Linked DNA regions of Rattus norvegicus. The protein of the gene in region 3 interacts with the protein of the main gene of each other region in a pairwise test. Links are inferred from orthologs where the notes say so. Each region holds a gene or a part of one and is shown on either strand. Other genes may lie near its edges.

Region 1 (4,280 bases), on a different chromosome or scaffold from region 3:
GATTACAGGCATGAGTCACTCCACCTGGCTCCTAGACCACTTTTTCCTTTCCTTTATTTTTGGAGACATTCTCACCATGTGGCCACAGCTGGCCAGAAACATACTATGTAGACCAGGCTGGCCTTGACAATTATGCACCACAGCACCCTAGACTGCTTTTGATGACTGTACAAGTACACAAGTAGAGAAAGGCTGGGACTGCCATCAGAGGTGGCAGCATCACCCAGGAGCCTAGAGTTCAGGAAACATTTTAGTGGGTGAGGTCACTTTTAGACAAACGCCTGTATTGGCATTTTTTTTTTTCCGGAGCTGGGGACCGAACCAGCTAGGCAAGCGCTCTACCACTGAGCTAAATCCCCAACCCCTGTATTGGCATTTTTAATATCCTGTACACTCTAAGCCAACATGAAGAAACTTTCAGAAGCACAAGCTGGGAGTGGTGAGATAGCTCAGCAATTAAGAGTACTACATGCTCTTCCAGAATACCTGGTTTAATTTCCAGCACCTACATGGCAGCTTATTTGCCTGTAACTCCAGTTCCAGGGAACCTGACAACCTCACATAGAGGAATGCAGATAAAACAACAATGCACATAAAATAGATTCTAAAATTAAAAAAAAAAAAAAAAAAAGCACAAGCCGCCAAGACAAGCCTCGACAATGTTGGCATTCCTAAGCATACCTAGCTCTATCAAACATCCTGATTCCTTTTTTATAAATCACAAAAGGCAGCACCTATGTTCCACAGCTCCAGTCCCAAAGCACAAAGTGTACAAACTAAAGGCAAGGCTCCTCTCTTACCGACCTCAAGTCTAAAACACAGGGTCCAGCCCAAACCCAACTGTCTTTCCCCAGCAAGGAGTAAAGCCTGTCTGCGAACAAGCACAACCACGGAGGTTCTGGCCACCCCAACACCTGCCCTAATAATAGTCCTTGTAGTCAATGTAGGACCCAGGTGGCATCCATCTAAGAGGACAGGCAGTTTGCTGGCCACAGGGGCTGCTGATAAGAGCAAGCTTTGACAGCAACGCCCAGGTGACACTGGCGCACCTGAGCTGTCTGGTTAGAGGGTATGAGGGCAGAGGTAGACCCAAGGACATCAATGGCTGGAGCAGGGCACAGAAGCCTATGTATCCAATGTGTCCCTCTTCTCAACTTCTCAATGCACAAGCCCAATCTCGTCCTCGGGCTTAAGGGTACAAGCACTCTAGCTTCTTTAACTAAGGGTAGGCAGTGAAGGAGCTGCTCTCCTCACCCAGCCAGTCAGATGGCAGAAGATCCCAAGCAAGTCTGGGCAGGGTTTCCAAACAGGTCTCTGGACCCCGGGTCAGTTCTCTGAAGAAGCCTGGACACTATGCTACACAAGCTGTTGGACAGCCATAACTGACCTCAGGAGAAAGTTGTGTGCCCAGAAAACTCTGTCCTAGCATCCAACTGCAGTTATCCTAAGTGAGAAGAACCGAGAAGCTAGCTCAAGTGGTGGCTCGTGCCTGCACACTCAAGTGTTAAGGAGACTGAACCAGGGGGACCCCCAAGAGTTCAAGGTTAGCCTTGGCTACAAGAGATGCTGTCTCAAAAGCAGGGAGGCAAAGTGAGAGACGGCTCTTACCAGAGCTCTTAAAGGTCCCACGGTCAAAGAAAAGGAACCCTAGAGACACACTGGCAACGATCTAAGCAGAAACTGGTCCTTGAGACAGTGCCGCTGCTCCCGAGAGCGGTAACAGTCACTCCACGAGCTAAAGTTTTGTGATGTAAATACACCCCTACCCCCGGCAAAGAAAAATTCGAAGGAAAAAACCCCCAAAAAACAACAAAATACAATCCTCTCCCCACTACTAGAGACCGGCAGAACACAGAGGGATGGGTCTTTCTACCACCTCAAGGTTCCTGCAGTGTGCAGTATTCGTCTGGCGACACCACCTACTTCAGAGTTACTTACCGGTCAGAGAACCTGTGCAAGGTTGCTTATCTCCGCCCACCTCGGCAGAGGAAACGTGGGTACCGGCCACTAAGGCTGGCTTGGATAAGGCTAAGCGGCCTCTTCTACTCGAATGCACACTCTAGGCCCTAAGGATCCTTCACTAAGTATACCACGCCGTTTCTTGAGTTTCTAGTGGCAGAGACAGCCAGAGGAGGGCAGGACTGCAATCACTCACAGCCTGAAAACCTTTAGAATCAAAACAAATTCCCCTTTGATACCCGTTTTCTGCTATGCAGAGAGGTAATTCATCCACTAAAACGGTTCCTTAAGAAAAAAGAACAGTGGGGCAGAGAACATGCACAAGACCCCCACAAAAACCCAAACTACAAGCCTAGCGTCTCAGCAACGAACGAAGTAAGCCAAGCCTTCTGCTGTGACTCCGGGTGCTTACAGGCCGCGACACGGCCCAGTGCCCACGGCCTTCCTGCACTCCCGCTCGCCTAACTACGGAGCCCAGCACCGCCCAGAATGTGTCTAGGAGCTACTGGGAAGCTCAGATTATCTGTTGTGGGGTCGGCGGAACTCAGTACGCCAAGAGTAGGGGGGTAGTGGGCCGTGTTCCCAACCCTGCATTCGCCCATGGCACAGCGGCTGGGCCCTATTGCCCCGAAGGCCGAGACTCGGAGGCGGGAGGAGGCCGCGAGCGAGAGGAGGCCGCTGTGGCTCCGCTCGGCGCCTCCCGGAAGCTCACTGGGAACGGCGGCGACTCCAGGCGAGGATTGGAGTGCGCGCGCAAGCCGGTGGCGGCTCACCTGGGCGACCGCGGCCCGGACCGTCGCGGCGGCAGAGGCGGCGGCGCTCCTTTGTCTCGGGACTTCCCTCCGCGCCCGCCGCGCGCAGCCCGGAGCGCAGGACCCCAGCGGGCGGGGCGGGGCGGGGCCTGAGTTGGGCTGCCCGCCGCACGCCTGCTCAGCGTACCGTCTTTCCGGTCCGGCAGCCTACGCCGTCTATTTAAACATGAGCTTCGCTCAGCCCTTACTCGGTTGCTGCGCTCTCGTTGCCCGCGACCACCTACAGAGCTGGGGCCCGGGGCGCCTGTCCAAGCAGGCGGTCCCCTGAACGGCCGCACTCTTAAAGGGGACGCGACCTAGGCTCAAGGGAGCGTCTGCAAACTCCTCATCGGGATCAGCGCGTCCACTCGAGGACACATCAGAGAGTCGTGTGAAGAAAAGAAAGCATAGATTTCCAAGGGTCATTCGGATGCTCAGAGGGCACCTTACCAGGCACAGGCTCTGGAGGTATCCTTGGGCTCAAGGCCCGAGTCCCGGGAGCAAAGATCACTGAGGCCTAAACATCCTGGGAATCGTCGCAGTACGGTGACGATCCCCGGAATACGGGGCGTTGAGACATTTTCTGTAATTGGCTAGCCCTGGAATTTGGGCGGGGTAAATCTCGAACCTACCCAATGAACGGACCTAATACAAAGGACCAAACGCAAACAAAACCGACGGGGAGAGAAATGTGGAAGCTCCCTAACCTACGAATTAGCCCTCGGTGGGGGAGGGGAATGGGCCGGAACCATGGGGGAGGGGCAGCACCCGAGAACTCCCCCGCCCCTAATCCTCTCCCCTATGCTGCACCCCACACCTCGTTCCACCTGAAACCCCTGCGCGGCTTCTGTTGGCACCACTGGACACGCTGTTGTCACTCCGTGGCCTAGTCCAGTTTCCTCCGCTAGTCCTCTGCAACCCAGCTCGGTGCTCGGATGCTTCCTCACCGACTCACCGACGGGACGGGTACTTAGAAACGTCGGCTGGCCCCCTGGTGGCCATCCTGGCGCCTGCTCCATTTTTTGGCACGTGCCGGAAGCCTTCGGGGCCACTTGCAGCCAACAAGGGCTTCCTGGGATATCTCAATATGAGCCCTGTGTTGCTGGAGACTTCAGTGTTTATCTGTCAATGTCTCCATCCATTTACTAACCTTCGTCCTCGTCCTCCTCTTCTCTTCTGAGGCTGTTGGGTGCCCCAGAACAGAGACCCAGGTCCCATGCCCTTTGCCCATAATTGCCCACCGTTCCCTGGAGCTCACCCTGTTAATTTCTCCAGTTCTTTGCCGTACTGTTTTAGAGTTAAGATCACGATGAGCACCAGATCCTGAGGGACCTTATTCTCTCATTGGGGCTGAGTTGTAGATGAGGTCTGCTTAGATACAGGTCCGTGACACCCAGTTGTGGTGGTTGGTGACCCCAGCAGATCTGTACCCCCAACAGAAGGCATCTATTTTGGATCCATCCCAGCCTGCACAGCAGCTTCCAAGACTGGTGGCTCCTGGGCACCTACATATGTTGACCAAGAGCAGCC
Region 2 (4,280 bases), on a different chromosome or scaffold from region 3:
CTGGTGTGTCTGAAAACAGCTACAGCATACCCACATATATAAAAAAAGAAATCTGGGGTTGGGGATTTAGCTCAGTGGTAGAGCACTTGCCTAGCAAGCTCAAGGCCCTGGGTTCGGTCCCCAGCTCCAAAAAAAAGAAAAAAGAAAAAAAAAAAGAAATCTAAAAAAAGAAGAGAGAGAGAGAGAGAGAGAGAGAGAGAGAGAGAGAGGCCAGGTGGTAGTGGCACATGCCTTTAATCCCAGTGCTCCAGAGGCAGAGGCAGAGGCAGAGGCAGGTGGAACTCTGAGTTCAAGGCCAGCCTAGTCTACAGAGGGAGTTCCAGGACAGCCATTGGGGGGGTGGAAGTAGTGGGGAGCAGAGAATTGTGATAATGTTTCTAGCTTATATGAGGTCTTGGACTCAACTCTCAGTACTAGAAAGAAATAAACAAGAGCCTGATGAGGTTCATACACATAATCCCAACCCCCCACATCCTGACGCAGGTCTGCAAGTTCTAGGCCATTGTGGGTTAGATAGTGATGCTCTGTCTTAAAACAAAAGCAAATAAAAGCAGTATGTCAGGGGTATAGTTCAGTGGTAGAATTGCTGCTTAAAGAGGCACTTGGACTAGATCCCTCTGGAAAAAACAAACACAAATAAAAAAATAAAGCCAGGTGTAGTGGTTATCTTAGCACTCAGGAGAATTACTACAAATTCAAGCTCAGCCTGCTATACAGAGTTTCAGGCTGGCAATAGCTGGTGAGGCCGTGTCAAAAACTTACTTATTTCAAATAAATAAATAAGTAGGTAAAAGAATGAATGCAGAAATATGAAACTTGGCTCGGTTTACTTAATTTCCTACAGTTCTCCAGGCCTTGTGCACACTTGCTATTCTGACTTTCAGCATTTGGATATCCAGCACTCACAGTGAAACCACTGTGGCAGAATTACACATCAACTGCCTTGTAGCAAACGCTGTTTTTCAGTGCTTGCCTTAGGTGAGCTTTCTCTTTCAGAAACATTAAACACTGCTAAGTCCCTCCACCCACCTTTTAGCTTACTAAACACTTAATATATGCCTGGTACCAACAGTCACTGTGGATTGTGGCAGATGCTATACCATAGCTACGACAGTCAGTCTTTGGCCTCGAGGAAATAACAACTTCCTGGGAGGGAAGGCAAAGAAACAGACCTTTATAACGGTGTGTGTGAAGAGAGACAAACTAAGGTGTTATGGGAGAGGTGTTTACACAGGATCTGGAGCTTGCTGCTACAGTGACAGCTTCCAGAGGGAGACAGACTAGGTGAGGACCAGGCTGACATGAGAGAAACATTCCCGGCAGAGTACAAAGACCTAGATGTGAGAAAAGGACCGGGGACATAGGTATGCAAGCTTCCACTAGACCTAGGCTCCACCACCTCCATTTGGCAAGTTGTTTAGGCTGAATGTAGTCTGACTATTCAGGCAGAAACGTGACAAGGGGTCTTTGCTGGAATTCTCAAGGTCAACAAAGGAGGCAGGGGGAGAAACCTCTGCAGAGCAGATTGAAAATCCTAAAGTTGGGGGTTGGGGATTTAGCTCAGTGGTAGAGCGCTTGCCTAGGAAGCGCAAGGCCCTGGGTTCGGTCCCCAGCTCCGAAAAAAAGAACCCCCCCCCAAAAAAAATCCTAAAGTTGGGGTGGAAGGTATTTTCAGAATGAAGGAGACATGAGAGGTTGATGCTGCCAGATCACCCGAGAGAATAAGCCATCTTGGATGTAGAAGCTTCTAGTTCACACTGGTGTAAATGGTGTTATTTCTACATCTCTGGTTGCTGCTCTGTAAGTCTTCCCCGTGCCTCCCCCAGAAGGTTTTTTGTCCCATGTTCTCCCATTCTCATGTCCGTCCACCCAGTGAAATGTGGGTGTTTCATCAGGACAGGGGCTGCAATCTGTCCTATTCACCTAGTGCAGTACCAGCTCACTTGATGACCCAAGACTTCTTCTTTTTTTTTTTTTTTTTTTTTGGTTCTTTTTTTTTTTTTTTCCGGAGTTGGGGACCGAACCCAGGGCCTTGCACTTCCTAGGCAAGCGCTCTACCACTGAGCTAAATCCCCAACCCCGACCCAAGACTTCTAAACACAAATTAACAAACCTTTGCGGTACAGGAATTGAGTTTTACTTCTTGGTAGCCCTACTTGGAGTGGTGCCAACGCTCCTTCACACCCATTCAAGTAATTATAGTGCCGGAGCTGCAGGAGAGTTTAAGTAGCATTCCCTCCTGCTCTAAAATCCAGATCTCCAAAATAGTCTCACCGTTCCCCTTCTCAAGCCTCAGATCCCCTTCACTAACAATTCCTTTTCACCGTGGTATATATGCTTGCTAAGACGCAGGGCGAACTCAACGATCTCCTTCCTCCAGCTGACTCTGATCCTGACTTCGTTAAATGAAGTCACAACCGTCCCTCCTTAACCCGGGTACAATAGGGGATATATACCATTGCTGAGGATTGTTGGGAATGAAGAGGCACACGGTAAAGTGCGATGTACATGAGATTTCTCTTTACAAACGTATAAGCACCTCCAGAGCAAACCTCCAGGGAAAGCGGACCCCTCCCTACAAACACAGGAAACAAACTGAGGCGCAAGGGACCGTCCAACCCCGATCCACCCTCAGAACCGCCGGCTCCTCTCAGGCCAGCACGAGCCGGGCCGGTTAAGTCTCTGCTTTGACTCCGACCCGGGAAGCCCAACCCAGCGCTAGGCGTGGCCATACGCACCGCAGAGACTGGGGCCTCCGGTCCCGGAGAGCTGTCGGACACAGGTGAACGCTCCGCCGTTGGTCTCCCGAAGAGAGCTGCGCAGGTCCCTCTTTCTCCAGGAGGTGTCGACGCTTCCGTGTACGTCATCAGAAGGCGCCCATTGTGGAGCTTACAATGGAACTACTGGTGTCCAGGCATGCCGGGAAACGGCGGACGGGTCTCCATAGCAACTGGCCTACAGTCCCAGGCCTTCAGCCTGTCCTAGCATTGTGGTCTGTGTCCTTGGGTCCACCGCCATATAACACGATACTCTGGCCCACCACCCCTCAGCTTAGGAGAGTAACAGAGCCAGCTGTGGGTGTAACACTCGTTTATTTACACACTGTCATCCGAAGGCAAATGAGTAGCCCGACCTCCAGGAGGGCACAGAGCTGGGACTTTTAACCCCCAGGACCTACAGACCCTTTCCTCCTTGGAGCTCGGAGGGTGGAGGGCGCAGGCATGAAGAGAACGAGGAAGCTTACATTTTACGCCAGTTCTGAGCACTACGTTCTATGTTTTCATCTTTCCAAAAGGCTCATTTTATTAAATACTCAAGCTCTAGCCCATTCATACTTTTTGCTCTGCCGCTATCCACCCAACATTGTTAATAATAACAATATCATAATAATAACACTGTAGCAATATTAATACTTCACATTTGTACGAAGTTTACAGGATGTTTTCACATACAGCGTCTCATCTGAGCCAACAGTTCTGTGAGGTAGGTATTTTCACCTCCCTTTTTACAGACGGGGTAATGGAGGCTCAGAGAAGGAACAGGTTTTGCTCAAGGCCACCCTACTAGTTAGTGGTAAAGCTGAGACTTGCTCCCAGCACCTCATAGTCAAGTCCAGTGTTCCAAAACCACAGCTACCTCTGTAAAGTGGAGGCATGTTCTTACCCCAGTCAGGCCTGAAGCGCCAGATGCTGAAAATTCTCAGACCGTGGAAGGAAAGAACTCAGCATCGGTGGGGAGAGTTGGGGTACCTAGCCTTCAACTCCTGTTTGAATTGTCGGTAAAGAATCTTATTGCGCTGGTTTTCAGCCTCCTTTTGGGGGTGAAACTTCAATGCCTCCTTGAATCCCTTATGAACCAGAAAACCTTCGTTCAGCACCTCAAAATTAAACCCTGCCATGTGCAGTTCACAAGCCTGGAGAGATGGAGGAGAGGAGAGGGAAGAGAGGGAGAGAGACAGAGAGAGGTCATAATAATTTAATCATAATAACTTAATGATATCCCCAGGGCCCAAATGATCATCCTTAAAGTGTCACTCCACCCTCCTCAATTCTACACCATCCATCTTCTTGCTTCATTGCCTCTTTCCCACCAATGGCCACTCCATCCCTGACATACCTCCAGTTCCAGTCCCACATGCCCTCTCCTTTTTAAGTACCTGGCTGATTCGATTGAAACCATACTGCCGAAAGCGTTCATCAAATGTGGGCACCTTTCCTCCAGCCACGTAAAACGGTTCCCAGGGGTCCCTCCAGGGCACCACGTAGGCAGGTCTCAGCAAA
Region 3 (4,088 bases):
AAATTCTTTGGTTCTTCGAGGGTCATAGCAAACCTCCATAAGGTTCCTGAAGCCTTTTCTGACCTCCCCAGAAGACATTAGTTCTTCTTTATTGCTTACAAGGCACTTTAATTATATGTGTCACTTTAAGTAAGCAACGAATACCTACAGACTGGGACTACAGGCAGGCACTCCTGCTTGCATTCAGGGCAGGAACCTATGCAACCAAGAACTATACTATACTGTGCATACTATACTGTGTATTTTATATTGGATATTTTTCTGCCCAGTAAAATATATATTCATATTCATATATATTCATGTCCATATAGACATGAACTCCTCTTATTACATTTCTTTTTTTTCCTTTTTTTCGGAGCTGGGGACAGAACCCAGGGCCTTGCGCTTGCTAAGCAAGTGCTCTACCACTGAGCTAAATCCCCAACCCCTCTTATTACATTTCTTAAGAGAGAAATTACAATTGTTTTTAAATATTAAAACACCAACACTCTTTTTTTAAACATTTTTTTTAGATTTTTTTTTTTAAGATTTATTTATTTCATGTATGTGAGTACCCTGTCGCTGTCTTCAGACACACCAGAAGAGGGCATCAGATCCTATTACAGATGGTTGTGAGTCACCATGTGGTTACTGGGAACTGAACTCAGGAGAGCAGTCTCTGCTCTTAACTGCTGGGCCATCTCTCCAGCCCAAAGCACCAATATTTTTAAAAGCTCTTGATGTAAGTGGTCTATTGCATAACACCCCCAGAATATCTTCATCGCATTTCTCATCTGAATATTTTTCCCTTTCACACTGTGAGGAATGTATGGTAATTCTTCCCTTTCAAGCAATCTTATACTAAGCAGAAAAATGACCCCTTCAAAGACATCCATGTTCTAGTCCCAAGAACTTGGGAAAAACGTTACACTGCAGAGAAGATTTAAGGCTGCAAACTGAATTCAGGAGGCTGATTGTAAAATACGGAGGTAGGAGCTGAAGAGATGGCTCCAGGGTAAAGAGCTTGCTGGGTAAGCACTGGTACTTCCCATCCTGGGCAAGGTGCAGTGCATTCTGAGACTTGCTGTCAGACAGTGTAGCCAAGACTACAGGTCCACTGAGAGACCCTGACTCAGAAATTAAAGTGGAGCAAAAGAGAAGACAATATCCAGAGTTCTATCTCTGGCCTCCACAGGTGCATTCAGGTATGTACACACACACACACACACACACACACACACACACACACACACACACACAATATAGAGATTATGCTGCATTGTATGTGAAAACTTCACCTAACCAGAAACTCCTCTAGATTAAAGGAGGGGATAACATCAGCATTAGACTGAGATAGGAGGCAAAAACACGATCAGAGAAGCAATGCTGATCCTGACTTTGGAAATGGGAGACGGAATGCCAAGCCAAGCAAAGAAGGCTGATCCAGAAAGTGGAAGGAGTTCGTCCCAAGAGCTCCCAGGACAGAAGACAGCTCTGCTAGCCCCTTTACTTTCCCAGGGAGACGCACAGACCCTGACAACTGACAGACACACAGACATACACAGGCACACATCTCGTTTTAAAGTGGTACTAAAAGTAAATAGTTTTAAATTAAAAAGTGTGTCCATGCAGGCGCATGTGTGTATAAGCCACCAAGGCCATGTAATTAATTATGGCAGTAAACTTAAAAAAATAAACTATTATCTCATTTTCCTAAGTATACTTATATCATGGTGATGCAATACACCGAGTTCCTGGCAACATAAAGAAAGGAAGAAAATACAATGTATCCATGCTGTATACACCTGAAACATGTCCAAAGATGGGGTGATGCAATACACCGAGTTCCCGGCAGCATAAAGAAAGGAAGAAAATATAATGTATCCATGCTGTATACACCTGAAACATGTCAAAAGATGGATACAATTTTAACAATTAAAAGATCCTAATTGTATTTCTTTTATAATCAGGGGACAGTTGATTGAGTACAATAAAGTAACTGGTCTATCTGGGTGGTGGCACAGCTCTGTAACAAGAGGATCAAGAGTTCAAAGCCAGCACAGTGTAAATAGAAAGCAGTTGCCTCGACTGTTTTCGTTGCTGTGCAGAAGTTTGGTTTATAGGCAGGGAAGAAAGCTGAAAAAGCAGGAAGTGAACATATTGATTCAGAGTTAAGTTCTCTGTGAGACAGGGCCAGGGAGACCGGAACACAATAAGGGACTGGTGAATGTCCAGCAACTTTATGTGACGATTAAAGGAGAGGTGATTTCATTCTCTGGCCCAGTGAAACCTGCTGATTCCCCTCTCTCCTGGCTGGACCGGACACAGGAAAAGTTTCCTTCAGAGGCACACAAGTTAGCTTGGATGCCTCTGGAACAGGAGTCCTCTTAGTCCAAACCAGTGGCCTCCTAGAAATTTATTAAGTATTTTCCCTTCAACATCTCCTCCCAAAACAAAACAAAAAATCTTACATATTCTGAAAAAGTGAGGCGTGACTACAGAATTCAGCACCTAACAAGGAAAAATGAATAATAGTCTTCCCGGGAAAGCCATTTTACTAAGAACATGCTGGAGCCAGTCCCAGTGACTATAACTTTCCTTTTCCCAGGAAGGGAAGCAACCCAAGGCTGAGAGCCCGGAGCAGGTGAGTCCCCAGACAGAGCACTGGGGACCCTGAGGCCCACAATGCTGGGCTGGAAGCCGCAGTCCTCCGCCCTCTGAGCGCGCGGGGTGGAGCATCCCTGAGCGAGGGTGGTGGGACAGCAGGGACGCAGAGGACCATCCGGTGGGACAAGCACTCACCCTCTCTGCCGCGCAGCGCTCGGAAGCCGGCAGCGCCGGTAGAACCGAACCCCACCTCGGAAACACAAACCTGGCCTCTGCAATGAGCAGGCTCAGTCACAGGCCGTTCTTTCACTTTCGTTTATTTCAGAAACAGGATGCTTCTGCTCCTTGCCCTGCGGACCTCGTCCCGGGCGCCATTGCTGCTGTTTCTATACTGGCAGTAATTCCAAGACCTGCTTTGAAAAGCTTATTTGTGTGCATTCTGCGGAACGCGCTGTTGAAAAAAACTGTATGGAAACCAGGGCTCTCTACGCAAATTCCCTCTGTAATTTGCTAGACGGTTACAAAGTTTGACACCAGCACAAGACAGACCAGGAAGCTGGAAAAGCTGCTTCCTGGGTTGGATTTTATGACGCTTGAAAGTTTTCTTCTAAGCTTTGTTTTTGTTGTGAAGATTTTGTAAACAAACACTCCCGCTAGATGTGTGCATTTCCTTTGCCAGAAAAATAGCTGGCTTCTGTCAAGAATGGTAGTGTCCCCTAATCCTATACCAAGAACGAGTTACTCCATAGCTGGGCGGCACTTGAGCACAGAGCTGTGGAAGAGTGGAAGACAGCAAAGAGATATCAGGGCCTTCTACATAGTGGTGCCCTGTATCAGTACGTATTAACCCATAGCTCGGTCTAAAATGACACACAGTGGCAGAAGCAAAATTCTTTGCATCAAGAGTAGTGATGGGGCGGCCGGGTTGGCGGCGGTGCAGGCCTTTAATCCCAGCACTCAGGAGGCAGAGGCAAGAGGATCTCTGTGAGTTTGTGGCCAGAGTTCCAGGACAGCCATGACTATACAGGAAAAAACCTGTCTGGGCCAGGGAGGGCGGGGGTGGGGTGGGGGGGGTGGTGGTGGTGATAGGACCCAGTTTACAATGACACCAGAACCATATGAGACCCTGTCTTAAAAAAAAAAAAAAAAAAAAAAGATAAGGGTTTCTTTTGTGTTGTCAGCCCAATTAGAAAGTACAGGCTACAGTGACTGGTACATGGGAAGGGGGGTGATTCCCAGGGTTGGGTTACCCCTTCTCAGAGGAGAAGGGGAGGGCAGAGGACATATAAGAGAGTGGGACTAGGAGGAGAGGAGGTGTTGATGTTGGGATGTAAAGTAAATAAATAAATTAATTGTCTATTTTTTGAAAAATAAAAACAAATGGTCTCGGTATTAGGTTTTCTTCTGAATTTGAGTGGGAGCATAAATGTCAATTAAAACTCATAAGAGGTCATTGGTTTGGACTGAGTTCCAGAGCAAAAGTGAAATCGCTTATGCTGAAA

Evidence for each region. The genes of interacting proteins can lie anywhere in the genome.
Region 1: the proteins of Nmi (region 3) and Ube2i interact in a two-hybrid assay, tested with the Homo sapiens proteins (3 studies listed by BioGRID and IntAct). The link is inferred for Rattus norvegicus from reciprocal best matches to the Homo sapiens genes NMI and UBE2I.
Region 2: the proteins of Nmi (region 3) and Brms1 interact in binary tests that used the Homo sapiens proteins (3 or more experiments, as listed by UniProt). The link is inferred for Rattus norvegicus from reciprocal best matches to the Homo sapiens genes NMI and BRMS1.

Annotation. Positions count from the first base shown.
Region 1 is NC_086028.1:14,795,455-14,799,734, forward strand, and holds the start of Ube2i (SUMO-conjugating enzyme UBC9), read right to left. Parts: upstream 2,801-4,280; 5' UTR 2,733-2,800; intron 2,078-2,732; exon of another isoform or gene 1,939-2,077; intron 1-1,938. UniProt on the Homo sapiens protein: Accepts the ubiquitin-like proteins SUMO1, SUMO2, SUMO3, SUMO4 and SUMO1P1/SUMO5 from the UBLE1A-UBLE1B E1 complex and catalyzes their covalent attachment to other proteins with the help of an E3 ligase such as RANBP2, CBX4 and ZNF451.
Region 2 is NC_086019.1:211,773,662-211,777,941, reverse strand, and holds the start of Brms1 (breast cancer metastasis-suppressor 1 homolog), read right to left. Parts: upstream 2,801-4,280; 5' UTR 2,739-2,800; intron 1-2,738. Other genes in the region: B4gat1 (beta-1,4-glucuronyltransferase 1), read right to left, coding at 3,722-3,913, 4,157-4,280. UniProt on the Homo sapiens protein: Transcriptional repressor. Down-regulates transcription activation by NF-kappa-B by promoting the deacetylation of RELA at 'Lys-310'. Promotes HDAC1 binding to promoter regions.
Region 3 is NC_086021.1:56,845,744-56,849,831, forward strand, and holds the start of Nmi (N-myc-interactor), read right to left. Parts: upstream 2,801-4,088; 5' UTR 2,782-2,800; intron 1-2,781. UniProt on the Homo sapiens protein: Acts as a signaling pathway regulator involved in innate immune system response.